Oreochromis niloticus: one gene and its partner. The protein of the gene in region 2 interacts with the protein of the main gene of each other region in a pairwise test. Links are inferred from orthologs where the notes say so. Each region holds a gene or a part of one and is shown on either strand. Other genes may lie near its edges. The genes, in order: aldoab and eno3.

The links.
Region 1: the proteins of eno3 (region 2) and aldoab interact in a two-hybrid assay, tested with the Homo sapiens proteins (2 studies listed by BioGRID and IntAct, with this or other methods). The link is inferred for Oreochromis niloticus from reciprocal best matches to the Homo sapiens genes ENO3 and ALDOA.

The regions. Positions count from the first base shown.
Region 1 is NC_031973.2:16,919,558-16,926,859, reverse strand, and holds the start of aldoab (fructose-bisphosphate aldolase A), read left to right. Parts: upstream 1-4,283; 5' UTR 4,284-4,418; intron 4,419-5,716; 5' UTR 5,717-5,723; coding exon 5,724-5,835; intron 5,836-6,088; coding exon 6,089-6,355; intron 6,356-6,450; coding exon 6,451-6,611; intron 6,612-6,948; coding exon 6,949-7,207; intron 7,208-7,302. Other genes in the region: integrin alpha-M, read right to left, coding at 1-70, 351-453, 2,833-2,869. UniProt on the Homo sapiens protein: Catalyzes the reversible conversion of beta-D-fructose 1,6-bisphosphate (FBP) into two triose phosphate and plays a key role in glycolysis and gluconeogenesis. In addition, may also function as scaffolding protein.
Region 2 is NC_031967.2:79,649,277-79,657,037, forward strand, and holds the start of eno3 (beta-enolase), read left to right. Parts: upstream 1-4,691; 5' UTR 4,692-4,849; intron 4,850-7,761. Other genes in the region: pfn1 (profilin-1), read left to right, coding at 97-194. UniProt on the Homo sapiens protein: Glycolytic enzyme that catalyzes the conversion of 2-phosphoglycerate to phosphoenolpyruvate. Appears to have a function in striated muscle development and regeneration.

The DNA of each region.
Region 1 (7,302 bases), on a different chromosome or scaffold from region 2:
TTTTGGAGGAGAAGTGGTACAACTATATATTCCCCCATTCTCCTGTTCAAGTGGGGCACTGACGATCAAACTATGGAGATAAATCCAGACAACGATGTAAGTCTAGAGAGCAAACTGTGGTTAAATACACTACATATCTTTTCTATTAAGAAATATTGCATGTTTGTTTATTTATTACTAACTAACCTATTATGATGTTTGTTAGAAGAAAATTAGTAATAAATAGCAATATTCCTAAAAAGCAAATAGTCCAATTGCAAGCCTACATTTAACAAACATGTATGTGTGTGTATGTGTGATACACTGTGTGTATGTGTGATAACACTTTATCAATGTGTCTTGTGACTTACTCTGATTTTCTTTGAATCACCTTGTACCCAAAACCAGCAGCAGAGCTACTCAGGGTCTTCCAAGCCCCAGGATCAATATTGAAAGAAAGCGCAGGATTTAACACTGAGAATTAAAGAAGCAAAAAAAAAAAAAAAACTCTAATGTGATTATAGCACTTCTGTTAAATACCACATACAGAAAATTGTATAGAGTCTGTGTTTCTCTTTAATTTTGTTGGAGTGTAGCAGTTTGAACTGAGGTCTGCCTCAGTGGGTGATCTTTTATTACCACTAGAGAGCACATAAGCTAGATATTTTTAAATTCTAAGAACTCAGAGGAATTATTCTCTTGTAAAACACACTCAAGACTTCAATTTGGAGTCAATTTTATGTCTTAAATTCCATATATACAGTCAAAAGTTTGGACACACTTTCTTATTTAATCGTTTTTCTTTATTTTTTAGTACTCTCAACATTGTAGAGACATACTAAAGACATCAAATATATCCACGATATATGGAACTATATAGCAAAGAAAAAAATTATAAATAACTCTAAATATGTATTATATGTTACATTCCTGAAAGTAGTCACCGTTTCCTTTGTTGACAGCGCTGCAAACCCTGGGCCTTCCCTTAATAAGCTTCATGATGAAGTCACCTGAAATGGTTTTCACTTCACAGGTGTGCCTTGTCAGATTTCATTTGGGGAAATTCTTGCCTTCTTGGTGAGATTGGGACCATCAGTCAGTGTGTTGTGCAGGAGTCAGGTAGATACACAGCTGACAGTCCTATTTGACAACTGTTAGAATTCATATTATGGCAACAACCATTCAGCTAGGTAAAGAGAAACGACAGTCCATCATTACTTCAAGAACTGAAGACAGTAATTCCGAAAAATTGCTAAAATTTTAAATGTATCCCCAAGTGCAGTCGCACAAAACATCAGGCACTTGATGAAACTGACTCACATGAGGACGCCCCAGGAAAGGAAGACCAAGAGTCACCTCTGCTGCTGAGGATACATTTATCTGAGTCACCAGCCTGAGACATCGCAATTTAACAGCACCTCAGATTTGAGCCCAGATAAATGCCACACAGAGTTCCAGTAGCAGACACATCTCTACATCAGCTGTTCAGAGGAGACTGTGTGAATCAGGCCTTTATGGTCAAATAGCTGCTAAGAAACCACGACTAAGGAAAAGCAACAAGCAGAAGAGATTTTTTTTTAGCCAAGAAAGACTAGGAATCAACATTGGACCAGTGGAAATCTGTGCTTTGGTCTGACGAGTCCAAATTCGAGAACTTTGGTTCCACCTGCTGAGTCTTTGGTGAGTGTGAACGGATGGTCTCTGCATGCATGGCTTCCACCGTGAAACGGGGAGAAGGAGGTGTGATAGTGTGGGAGAGGCTTTGCTGGTGACACTGTTGGGGATTTATTCAAAATTGAAGGCACACTGAACCAGCATGGCTACCACAGCATCCTGGAGCGACATGCCATCCCATTCAGTTTGCATTTAGTTGGACCATCATTTGTTTGAAAACAGGACCCCAAACACACCTCCAGCTGTGTAAAGGCTATTTGACCAAGAAAGAGAGTGATGGAGTGCCGTGCCAGATGGCCTGTCCTCCACAGTCACCTGACCTAAACCCAGTTGAGATGGTTTGGAATGAGATGGACCGCAGAGTGAAGGCAAAAGGGCCAACAAGTGTTCAGCATGTTGGAAAACCATTTCAGGTGACGACCCCAATAAGCTCATCAAGAGAATGCCAAGAGTGTGGAAAGCAGTAATCAAAGTAAAGGGTGGATATTTTTGAAGAATCTAAACTATAAAACATGTTTTTGAGTTATTTCACACTTTTTTGGTTTACTACATGATTCCATATGTGCTCATTTATAGTTTTGATGCCTTCAGTGAGAATCTAATGTAATTAGTGATGAATATAAAGAAAAAACATTAAACGGTTTCATAACCCCCTGAAAAGTAAATTTATTAAAACATTTTATTACAATGCCATGCCCTCAAGTTTAATTCTTGTCAACACAGTGTTAGTTAGATTATTCATCACAGGATCAAAAAGTACAATATGACACTGAAAACAGGCCTCAAATATGTGATGATTGCATTAACACAGAATTTTTTGTGATTTAGCATTTACATATTTATTGTGGATTAATAATCAAGAATTTAATTTTGGAAAATTATTTATGAAAGGGTTTTTCACTAAGTGCATGCTAGAGGTGAAATGCAATTAAAATATTGTACTCATTAAGCTATTTTTACACTCTGAAACTAACTGGGCTGATCACACGTCTCAGTAAGTTTGATTCACAGAGAAAAAAAAGGAAATGAGCACAACAGACATACTGCTCCATAATAGGGTGTTACTTATTATAGCATTCTGCAGGTTTTCAATAAATATTTGTTCAGCTAAGTGCGTAATTTTACTTAAAATGAAGGCATAACTAGACAATGAAAGATAAAAAGCACAAACTGTCTTACCTGACAAGAATATTGTAGAACTAAGTATCCAGTTCATTGTGTTACTCCCATGGAAAATAATTTTAACTGTGATATTTGGTTTTATTTTTAATTTTCACTGCCACTTCTGCTAAAAGCGTGTAAGAAGGAGCCAAAAAGCAGAAATAATCAGGTGACTGATCAAAGCCAAGGCATCTGTAGAGGAAGGAGGAGTAAAACACAGCAGCAGCTGTGGTGGTGTGTGGCCAACTTTTAATTTAGTTTAAGCTCTAATTTTCTTAAACAATAGTATAACAGTAAACCAACTGGATAGTTTATTAATATGTGGACAACCAGATGAAATTGTTTTAAATGTAATTAAAATGTTAACATTTAAATAAAATCATCTGCCTCATTAGCAGGTCTAAGATAAATTCTTTGCTGAAAATTTGAGGTCAGTCTGATAAAATTCTTTTTGTTTATCACGTTAAATTGTAAATAAGAAAAGGGAATGTTGAACATCTAACATTATGACTATTACTTTCCCTGTAGTTGACTAGTAAGTTGAATTTGCTTGTTCACATTTCGACTTAACACGTCTATTCCTGTTGCATTGTTCAGCCCACAAGCCCTCCTGTCAGGAAGTTGGTCTCTTTTACGGCAAGTGCGTGCCACTAAAAAAGTGTAGTGTGCACTACAAAACCCAAAGTCTGAAAATGTGAGAACATCCGAGTTGCAAAATTTTATGTCTTTTCATGTGTCTGTTTCGTGCTTTCCCATGAGCTGAGTGAGAGACACAGAAACAGATGCAAAGTGCAATGTGCCCCGAAAATATGAACCTGCAACCTTTCCCTAGCTTGGCGGTTGACCTCTTCCTGCAGAGCACAGACGATCAAGAAAGGTTGAGAAAAGGTCAAGGATCAGTGTGCTGTGTTGCTGCGTCTGGTTTGGATTTCTAAAGGCGGGTTGGCAATGTTGCAACATGCTCAACCCTTTCTCACTCTCACTCTTTTTCTGTGTGTGTCTGTGTGCACGCAGACACACATATTTAGTGCATTCTACATATACCCCCAAATTTATCTTCCTTCACATACTATTTCAAATGACCTCTGGATATTAGATGTTCTTCTTTGGTGAGGCAGCGCATTTTAAAATAACTGCAGCCAAATAAAATGTTTCATATAAGACAGAATGTAAAGGATGTGCTTGGAAGATGCATAATTTCATTTAAGGAGAGTGTAAGAAACACTTACATAGTAGGCAAATTTGCGCCATGCCATTCTTCCCTAGACATTTCTGGATAATATCGTCTACTCATTACCCATCTATCTGGACTTTATCTAAACCCTAACTGCCTGTTATTCCATCGCATTTTGTGCCATTCACTGAAACACTCTTTGCCCTTTGAGTGGCTGCTCGCTAGCACGTTACTCCAGCCCCAGTCCTGCTGAATGTCACAAGCCATCTCTGGTTGCATCCTGTTCTTTTTATAGTTGGGCAGCTGAAATGTGAGGGGTCACAATGGGAGGATAAATACAAGGGCCAGCAGGACTGCAGGGGTGTCACAGACGAAGGCCGGATCTTCTCCCTTCTTCTCTCTTCTCTCAGCTCTCCTCGCAACCTCAAAGGTAAAAGATTGAATTCATGCCCATGAAGAAAACAGCATTTTAAGTGGATTTGTTGGTTAGCTATTGAATGTTATGTTATAAAGCCTTGGCATAATGAGAGGCTTATGACCTGTATACCAGAATTAAAATAAAAACAGTGTTATGCATCTTCTTGTAGCTTTCACAACTGTGTGGTTAACATGACTAGCTCGAAGTATATCAGTGAAACCCGCAGGTTCATGTCTGTTGGTTAAATGCAAGTGTGCGTCTTTTTTTTTCATTACCTCAGTGAACCAGATGCTATACAGATGAAAATATCTCATCCTTTTCTATAGTATAACAACACTAAATAATGATTGTGATGAACTGTGAGAATGATTCTCCCTTGACATTAAACAAAGCTGATCATTTTTGGTAAACTTCAGTCACCTAGCTTTATCTGATGCAAAGTTTCCATTGGCACATTGGTGGGGTGACTCAATAGTCTGACTAATTTCTTGCTTTACTGGATCAATTCATCTAAACTACCTTCTGCAATGTGGCATGCCTCATCAACAGCGGGGTGTAACACTGCACATTTTCTTTTTTGCAGCCCCTTCATGCTACATGAGCTACAGTGCACTCACTGCCTCATGCAAGCAGTATACTGGGTACACTGGGTATATTTAGTCTAACGTATTGATAGTGGCGACAGGGTGACAGTTGGAGGAGGTATGCGATAGGAGGCCAGTCAAGCGGAATGGTGAGGGAAGGGGGGCTGTGGAGGGGAATGGAAAGGTCAGGGATAAGAGGCTAGAAAATGGAATAGGTCACGGACGTGCACACGATTTTTTAAGGGTGGTCAGATGCATGGAGGGTGGGGCATGTGGTGGTGGTGGAGGGGGGGGGGGAGGGGGGGGGGGGGGGGTATCTGTGGAAGTTCTCTGACACTGGATCCTCTGTGAGGCTACATATTGTGCCTGGGGAGTAGAGTGAAACCAGTGCACAAGCTGCTGCAGCAGTTAAAGCTTAAACAGCTGCTGTCGCATGTAGGACACAAGCTGGCCTGGGTTGTTTTAGCAAAAGATAGTCTGACAGGAAAACCATGAGCCAGACGTTTTTGTTTTTTTTTTACCACTTCCTTCACACAATGAACCCGATGTTCTGTTCTCCTTTCATCTAGCAGTTTCCCACACATATACCCTGAAACTGTTACACTCAAAAGCAGATATGCAGAGCAGTATAACCTTTCGACTTGGCACACTGTAAAAATGTATAATCTCTGTGTCCTGTTCATTATTAATTTCTCAAATTTTTGTCTTCCCTTTATTTATATCAAGAGTCAGGATGCCTCACGCATACCCTTTCCTCACTCCTGAGCAGAAGAAGGAGCTCAATGATATTGCTCTGAAGATTGTGGCTCCTGGCAAAGGAATCCTTGCCGCAGATGAGTCAACTGGTAAGAAAATGAACCTATATACTAACAATCAGTTATTTGGCACAGTCAACTCAACAGTTGCCAAAAACCATGACTTAAGGATCACAGTTAGGCTACAGTTGAAACTGGTTTCATTGTGTGTGTGTTTTCTCAGACCTGAACTGAAACACTTCTGCAAATGTGCAGACATGCAGACAGACTGTGGTTTCCAACACCTAATAATATAGTATTTTTTTATAGTCCATCTGATTTGATATGTTTCTATAACCTCCAGGCAGTGTGGCCAAGCGCTTCCAGAGCATCAATGCTGAGAACACTGAGGAGAACAGGAGGCTGTACCGCCAGCTCCTCTTTACTGCTGACAACCGCATCAGTCCCTGTATTGGTGGCGTTATCCTCTTCCATGAGACCATGTACCAGAAGACCGACGATGGCAAGCCTTTCCCTCAATACCTCAAAGAAAGAGACATGGTGGTGGGTATCAAGGTCGACAAAGGTGTTGTCCCCCTGGCAGGAACCAATGGCGAGACAACCACCCAGGGTGAGCACAGAAAAGATCCAGACATCATCAGTATTACATCATCATCTTTTAATATTTTTATCTAACGTATCGTGTATGGCTTTCCTTCTTAACAGGTCTCGATGGACTTTATGAGCGTTGCGCCCAGTACAAGAAGGATGGTGCTGACTTCGCTAAGTGGCGTTGTGTTCTGAAGATCACCCCCACCACGCCCTCAAGACTGGCTATCATAGAGAATGCCAATGTCCTGGCTCGCTATGCCAGCATCTGCCAGATGGTAAGACACAATAGACAGATAACCCAGTTTCACAGAATTTTACAAAATACTTTTGCTGTTTTTGCTTGTTTCTTTTTTGCATGGCTGCATTTCATTTGATCATGCCACACACACACTTCCTGCATGGCTAGAAACACGCAATGAGGAAACCTCAGAATGTGCCAACAAGCTCAAAAACCTTTTCTCCAAATTAATACTATATCATAGTATCCACAAGGCAGCATAGCAGAAGCAGAAATTTTTAAATTTTAAAAAGTCTTCACTGTTGGATTTCATGTCTTGCCTTCTTAATATGAGCTCCTATTTTACACTGTCCTTGTGTCCTGGCCTTTCCTAGCATGGTATTGTCCCCATTGTTGAGCCTGAGATTCTTCCTGATGGTGACCATGACCTGAAGCGTTGTCAGTACATCACTGAGAAGGTCCTGGCTGCCGTCTACAAGGCCCTGTCTGACCACCACGTCTACCTGGAGGGTACCCTGCTCAAACCCAACATGGTTACCGCTGGACACTCTTGCTCACACAAGTACACCAACCAGGAGATTGCCATGGCAACTGTTACTGCCCTGCGCCGCACCGTTCCCCCTGCAGTTCCTGGTAAGCTGAAAGTGCATCACACGCTTGCTGATATGCACACTTTTCCACTTTTTTAGACATAATCTTTTGTGACTAATCTACATTAGATCTGCACT
Region 2 (7,761 bases):
GTAAGATGTTCCCGTTGACTCAGCACATTTTTATCCTTTGAATTCATTCCAAACCTCTGAGGCTGACACACTCCTGCTTCCTGTCTGTCTCTACAGCGATAGTCATAGCCAAGGGCACGAAAGACGCCTCTGGTGGTCAGGTATCCAGCAAGGTGTTCAAAATCGTTGAGTACCTGAGGAAGGCTGGTTATTAGGACAAGACAACCACCTTCATCTCACGAGATGGATGCCACCTCCTGCCTCCCTGTGTTTCTATATCTGAGCTTCTTTAGTTTTTTTTTTTTTTTTTTTAAAGTCATTTTCAATCTTCAGGTGTGTTTCCTGCTGTAGAGATGAATCAGAGTGTTTTCTCTGGTCTAAGTTAGCATGTGGTAGCTTTTAACCTGAGAGTACACGTCATGTTTAACGCAGGAACACAGTGTTACCATTATTTTTCTACAGTGGCGATTGACCAGCGTCCAATCAGAGCTCTGTGAAAACTCATTGCACACCTGAATTAAATAAAAACAAACATGGTTATACTTACATTCTGAGGGTGTCTTTATATGTGTGTGTGTGTGTGTGTGTGTGTGTGCGCTACAGCTTGTGTTCTACAAATGTTTTCTACAAACACCTCTTCTTCAGGGGCTGATTTATTGTGCGACACACAGCTAAAAAAATAAGACAGTCTAGTGCACTCATATACACGCATCACACCTAATATTTGATTAAATATGCCACAACAAGTTGTAGTATTAGTATTACGCACAACTGTTTGTTAGAGCTTATATAGCGTTTAAACAATACACACACGTTTGTCTTTCTGCATAAGTGTGGACCCATATTGACTTACTGCCTTATCAAGTCCCCTGATCTAAACCTGAACCTCAAAGCCACGTTTGTGTTCAAAGAGTGCTCTGAAGGAGAAAAGGCCAACTTTTCCATAAAATACAAAACTTCCTCTTCATACATAAATGTCATCACATGCTGAATGTCTTCATTATTCTGGTTTAAAACCTGCACAGGTTCATGCACAGGTATGCGCCCACACATCCACATTTCTTTTTGTACACATTAACATACTGGCTTGTCAAGTCCAAAACTAACTGACTCCAAAACCAGATATGAACCCTCACACCTCCCGCCTCCCTTCCCCTCACACTGTACTATGAAGCAGAAAAGGCTTTTGTGGCTTTATAAAAAAGGATGAAAAAATGCCCTCCACCTCAAAACCAGGCCAGACTGAATTTGTTTGTTCTCCCTGTGCTTGTTTGGGTTCTCTAGGGGAACTACAGCTTCACCCCACAGTCCAAAAACACATGTGTTGGGTTAACTGTCGGTGTGTATGTGACAATGACTGAAAAAAATTCTCATAATGTAGAAACATTCGCATTATTTTGGATTCAAGCTAAAAATGGCTCTTACAATGAAAACTGTACAAGCCCAGACACGTGTCATCCTACACATGTGTGGGCACATGCTAACCCAGAGGCTTATCATGGCTCTTTAGTCTTTCAAAGGCATGAGGACTCTCTGAAATATCCCTATAATGTAAAAATGTGCTCTTATTTTTATTTAAAAGTCACATGGTAAAAATATACCAAGCATAGCCGCCCACAAATGACTTCTTCTCAGGGCCCCTCTCCTTAAACTCACCCTTTAAATTAGGTCCCATATGCATAAAGATCCTTATAGTTCTCACAGAAACCTCGTTAGCCTAAAACATATCAGCACAGACAGCTTAAAAGTAATTTAGAGGAAAACTAAGCAGAAGGGGAATAAAAGTATAACTCAGTGAGGAGGTGTGGCTGACTTTAGAGCTTTGTATGATGCACTCTTTCAAAGAAAATTTTATTTTAAGGCAGCTGCGAATATCTTCTAATTGAAGAAACAGGAAAATATACCTTAGCTTATAAAATGTTTGAAAACACAGACCAAACACAGGCCTATGTGTGCGGCAGGCACACTAGTAATGAATGTGCTTTATAGGGACAGATCGGCTGACCTCTGACCTGTAGACAAGAGCTGAAATGCTAAAAACTGCAGTTCCTGTAATGTCCACTCGGGCCTCCAACAGTAATTCAGTCCCCACGATCTCCCAAGTTAAAATGTCCAAACGTAGAACTGAAGTAAACATGTTTGCACAAGATGCCCAAAAGGCTGAGCTCTACTTTTAATAAGTGAACTTCAGATATCTGTGCCTGTGTGGTGCACTCATTCAGTCCATGGACGCGGCTTTATAACCCTGCAAGATGGCATAAGGTCATAACTTAGCACTCCAAACTCTCATCCAAACATGGCCACGCCAGACTCTAAAAAGATCAACATGGCACCAGCCAAAAACTCTTACAAACACCCTGCTGTTCACCTTTTAGTTGGAGACCTTTGTAAACACGGGTCCCCACAGGTGTATAAAAACAAACATCTGTGTATGTGGTTAAAATGCAACATAAATGATTACTGCTAAGAGTAGTACAACTAAAAGTAGTATTATTGAAATATAAAATTGTGAACTTCTAGTGCAACGTGATTTTGTTACTATAGTACTGCAGCCCACTCGTACTGCTCCAGAACTACAGTTACATGTCACGGTGAAGTAGAAGTGACAAACTTCCACTTTACTGACACAGACAGTAAGATAAATGCAGCACTGCAGGAGAACTTACACTATGTGTCATATACAGAGTGTGCCCCTCCCCCACCACTCCAGTAAAGTGCAGTTATATTTAGTAAAGGCACCGGGGACGCTGGACAGGCCGCCGTGTAGCCACTCGGTGTGTGTGAAGTACAGTTAAAGGTGAGCGTAAAGGGTAAGGTGTGTGTGTGCTGGGGTTACTGCCCTTTGCAGTGAATGCTGAGCTGGTCTCACATTTCCCCTTTAGATGAACTTCAACCTTCTCTGTGGGCGTTAGGGACCATCACTCTTGTTCACCCCACAACATAATAGTCATTCAGCACACAGAGTAAAACTGGGCCCCACAAAAAGACTTTTTTTCCTTCATTCTTGTGACGTTTTGAACTAATTTGTGCCTTTTTTCATCGCATTATGGTAGAAATTTAAATTTGTGTTTCTTTTGTGGCTTTTGTTTAGGAGGAAAGTCCTCTGTGAATGTTCATGTCACACCAGTTCACAACAATGATGAACTAAATCATTTTATTTAATCGGTCTGCTGGATTTTAACAGTTGGGCTGTATTTTTAAACCTTTCTGAACTTGTACATGTGTTCAGTGATCAGCTGCTGCAGCTGCCTGTGTCGCCATCCACCTGTGAGTCAAAGAGGCCACGCCCCTAAAAATGCAAACTTTAAGCTTTAGTGCAATTTAAATATGCAGATGCAGTCGTTAAACCTCACCAGTCTAAGCTTGTGTGCCTGAAATGACTGCAGGTTTCTACTGCTGTCAACGAAAGATACAAGTTTTCTAATCACAGATGGGACTGAAACACTAAACCAGTAAACCACTGAGGTGTAAACACCTTTAACATCTTTGCATTTAAGCACAATAAAATCAGGTACACACAAAGGAGACACATGAAAACAGCAGAAATCAAACCTGAAAAAAGGGAATTTAAGAGGTTCCAGTTTTTTTTATTATGTGTATTTTTGAATGAAAGTCAGAATAAGAAACACCTTTTTGCCCTTTAAAGATGAGGGACCACATAACAGAGTTTAACTGGGTAACTTTTACTTAAAAGTAATCGGTTTAAACAGTTGGAGTGCCCACTAGGACAAAACAAACGCCTCTTTTTATTTAGCCTCCACATGCTCAGCACACTGACAGCTTCCTCAGAGTAAAGGCCGTCCTCTGTCATCAGTGATTTAGTTTCTTTAGGTTTTCCTCTGAATAAATATTAAACATTAACAAACTGCTTATTTGACAAATTAACATGTGATGTGATGTTTTCCCTCAGATGAGCCTGAGCTCTGGGTTTCGTCTGGCTGTGAGCGTCACAGTGATTTTAAAGTTTTAGATTAGATCATGCACACAGAGCCACATTTGTTTAATGATTCTTGTGTTTGAAAGCATTAAATTAAACAGAGATGATAGCGCTCGAGTGTTCGAGTCGCAGCACTTCCTGGATTCAAATCGTCTCTGCAGATATAAAATCAAAGAGCATTTACTTTTAAAGCGGCACGGCAGGTCCTTATTATTATTTATTATTACTATTAATGAGGTGGTTTTATACATTTCTTACATTATTTTCAGACTTTTCCATTTAATTTTCATTATTATTGCGTATGTATTTTGTTATTTACCTGAGCTCTTCTGCATTATTAAGCCTTTGCTTTGTGGTGTTGCAGGCTGTGTTTAATGTTTTGGCTGCAGTAACACGGGCACTTAATGACTTTTGGGTTAGACAAAGATTATATCACACTGTTGCTCCAGTGCATCCATGTCCCCTGAAGTCTTTAAGCTCTTATTTCAGAGCAACTGACGAACAGAAACATTCATTGTACCTGAGTTTAAAGACTTCCTGGATTGTGTTACACTGCTGGTTCTTTGGGAAGCACTAGAAATGTGTGTGTTCAGGAAGAGACTGGAACTATTTACATATCTGAGCGTGTTACACTAGGACTGCAGTCCTCATAGAAACTTACACAGCTTCAGATTAAGGCTCTTATAATTATGCTTGGAGACGGCAAACAGCAGTGAAGATCTGATGATTAACTACAGCTGGGAGGTTTTTCTGTTTGCCTCCGTCCTGTCACATGCACACACTCCCTGCTTCCTCCTCCTCCTCCTTCTGCTGCAGCTGCAGGGAGAGGCTATAAAAGCCCTGCTGGGGGACAGACAGACACTTTCCACGTCAGTCGGACAGTCGGACAGTCAGACAGACGACCCCCTCTTCTTGCTCACTGCCTCTGAACAGGTAAGCTGGGATGGTAGGCGGCTGAGGGCTCTGCTTGGAGGTTTTTTAAATAACTTCCTGTTCGTTTCCGCCTCAGTCTGCTTCTGGTTTGGTGACATGCTTTTTAGACTTTTACTCTGAAAGTTCAGTTTGCAGAAGTTCTCCTGAGGTGTTAACTCAAATGAGTTCCTGTTCTGGAGGCTCATTTTGTTCCTGTTTATGGCAGGAAGGGGAACACAGTTTGAAAGGTTTGACTTTGGGTGGGCTGAAGGTCACAGAGCTGACAGACAGACGTGAGAGGCTCAAAGTCCGCAGACAGACGGACACCCTCCATGTGCTCACAGGGAGCTTTAAATCTGAATCTTTAGCATTTATAACTCCCCCTGAGCTCAGAACTGGACACATTTAAGCAGGTTACATAAACTCCAAGCAACACTTCCTGAATCTGACTCTTCACTTTAAAGAAAGGGGTTTTATTGCATTTTGAAAAGACTTCTGTTGACTTTCTACTTGTTGAGTGACTTTGTTTCATCTGTAGCGTAACGATAATGATGTGTGATAACTTTTACTCTTACTGAGCCATTTTATGTTATTGGTTCATTTCCTGTTTGTTGAGCAGCCTGAACAACTGCAGCAGTTCATTCAGGCTGAAACAAAGTGTCCTTAAATCTGCCCTGCTGCGTGGCTGCTCAGGATCACTCAGCCAATAAAAGTTGTTTTCATTTGTCCCACATGTTCTAGCAGCAGACTTGACGCAAATCTAATGATCAGAGGTGATCACAGGACCTGCTGGGTGTCAAATGGCCACTCTGCACCTCAAAATGAGGCGTGTCCTCCCCTCAGGGGTCTGGGAGACAGGGGTGTGGTGCTGGGGGGAGTGGGGCACTAATCCTTCAAAATGATGTTTCTGTATCAAAGCAGCCATGGGTGGACTAGTCCATCCCTTTAAATGCATCACTGTAAATATAACTACAAAGTGAGCGCTCATGGACTAAAAGCTATTGTGCTAATTATAGATATAGACCATGTCAAAGTTGAGCCCCCTCCCCACTGTCCTTCAGTGGTCTGAGATGAAAAAATATATATTACATACTGGTGAACCAGTTTGTGTTCAAACACATGCTTCTCCACAGCTGACTGACGGACCTACAGTCTGAGCAGGAGCAGCTCACTACTACCATATACTTGGTGCAGTCTCCATCAAATGCTCTCCACAGATGGACGGGCAGTTTCACTACACCTACTGCAGCGTAATCGTGGCTTCACTGTTTTGTTCTGAAGTCTTTAAACCATGTGAGCCTTCTTACTCACAGACTGGAACGTATTCACAGCTGAGACCAGAATGCATTTTGGCCCCTTGCTGGTCGACCACATGGTTTAACATGGTTGCAAACTTGTTTCGGGCTGGTCATGTCTCCTAATGATGACCAGCATCCATTAGGACTGAACAAACGTCACTGCTGTGTGGTTTTTATCTCTGAGGATGTCTCTGGGCATTTTGTTTAAAGGCTAACTTGGCACAACTGGCCTGCATGTAGTAAAACTCAGTGAGTTGCCTTTCTAATCATTTTATCTCTAAACCAATAAACACATGTTTGATTAAATTAAACTCCACTTACAAAACTGTTAAATGGCTTTATCCAATCCTGGTAACTCTTCTTCTCAGAAGGTCCAAACCTCTCTGGGTGAGCCTGTCAGGGGTTAAACTGGGGTTTGAGAGGAGGGCGTTCACTGAGCTGAGACGCTTGTTTTAAATCAGTCTAGTAAGGAATATGAAATCCTTACAAGGATTGACTTTAATAATATATGATTGGCTTTGCATTCTGAGAAGTCCTCTAGAAGAAGTGTCAGTTATATCCTCCTGTATGGCGTTAAAGCCAAAAGCTGCAGAGGCGAGTGTCTTGAGTTGCACAGCTGAAAGTCCTGATGAACACAGCTACACAAAAGCTGTTTTCAGTGGTCAGTGTTATTGTGACTGGCTTTTCAAGAAACATGAGAAGACTGTGTGAAATGATTAGTTGGTGTGCATTTAAGTGTCCTCAGTCAGTGTAAATTTGCTCAGCTTTCAGCACACCCAGCACGAACAGGCCTTGTTCCATCTGCCTGAGACGTTTAACCTTCGACTCATGACAAAAAATTGGGTTTTAACAGATTTCCCCTAAAAGTGTCACTGATTTCAGTGACTTATCTGTTTGTTCTGATTCTATGTCAAGTCCAAAGTCTTGGTGCTCAAATGTACCCAAGCTGTGTACAGGAAAAACACTTTAATACATCTGCATGGGTATTTAACAGCCTCTGTCAGACTGCCGCTGTTATAGTGAGTTTATTCAGTGTGAAAGCAGACCTGCAGATCTGAAAGAGGCTGGCTGACCCACACTGAAGTGCAGCCAAGTTAAACTCTGAGCATGTGTACAGTGTTTGTAAAGGCCATCAGGGGTTTGGAGTGTACTGTAAGAGCTCAGCTGTTCAGCTGGCATCTGCCCAAACACTCTTACATAAAACACAGCAGACGTGACGGACGCTCTGAACCTGCTCACACAGTTGGACCAGAACACTTTTACTACGGGAGCTTATCTCGGTGTGCACAGAATCAGAGTTTACTGTATCAAACCTAGCAACCAGATAAAGCCCAGTCCTTCAGCTGTGAAGTGGGTCATGCACAGCGGAGGCTAATATCAGCTCAGTCACAAATACCTCTTCAAATGTCAGAAGCATTAATAAGAGTCTGTGTAACTGAAGAACAGCAGGGAGGAAGTCATGACCTCTGCAGAAAGGTCAGGGAAAAGGTCAAAGGCTCCTACACGGCTGGTGTTGGTATAAATAACCCACGCAGACTATGACCTCCCCCTCGTGTCTGCAGAATGGTCTGTCCCTCTCTCCTGTTGAGCCCTGTAGCTGCCAGTCAGGAGTGCAGGGCTGTGATTGGTTCTGTG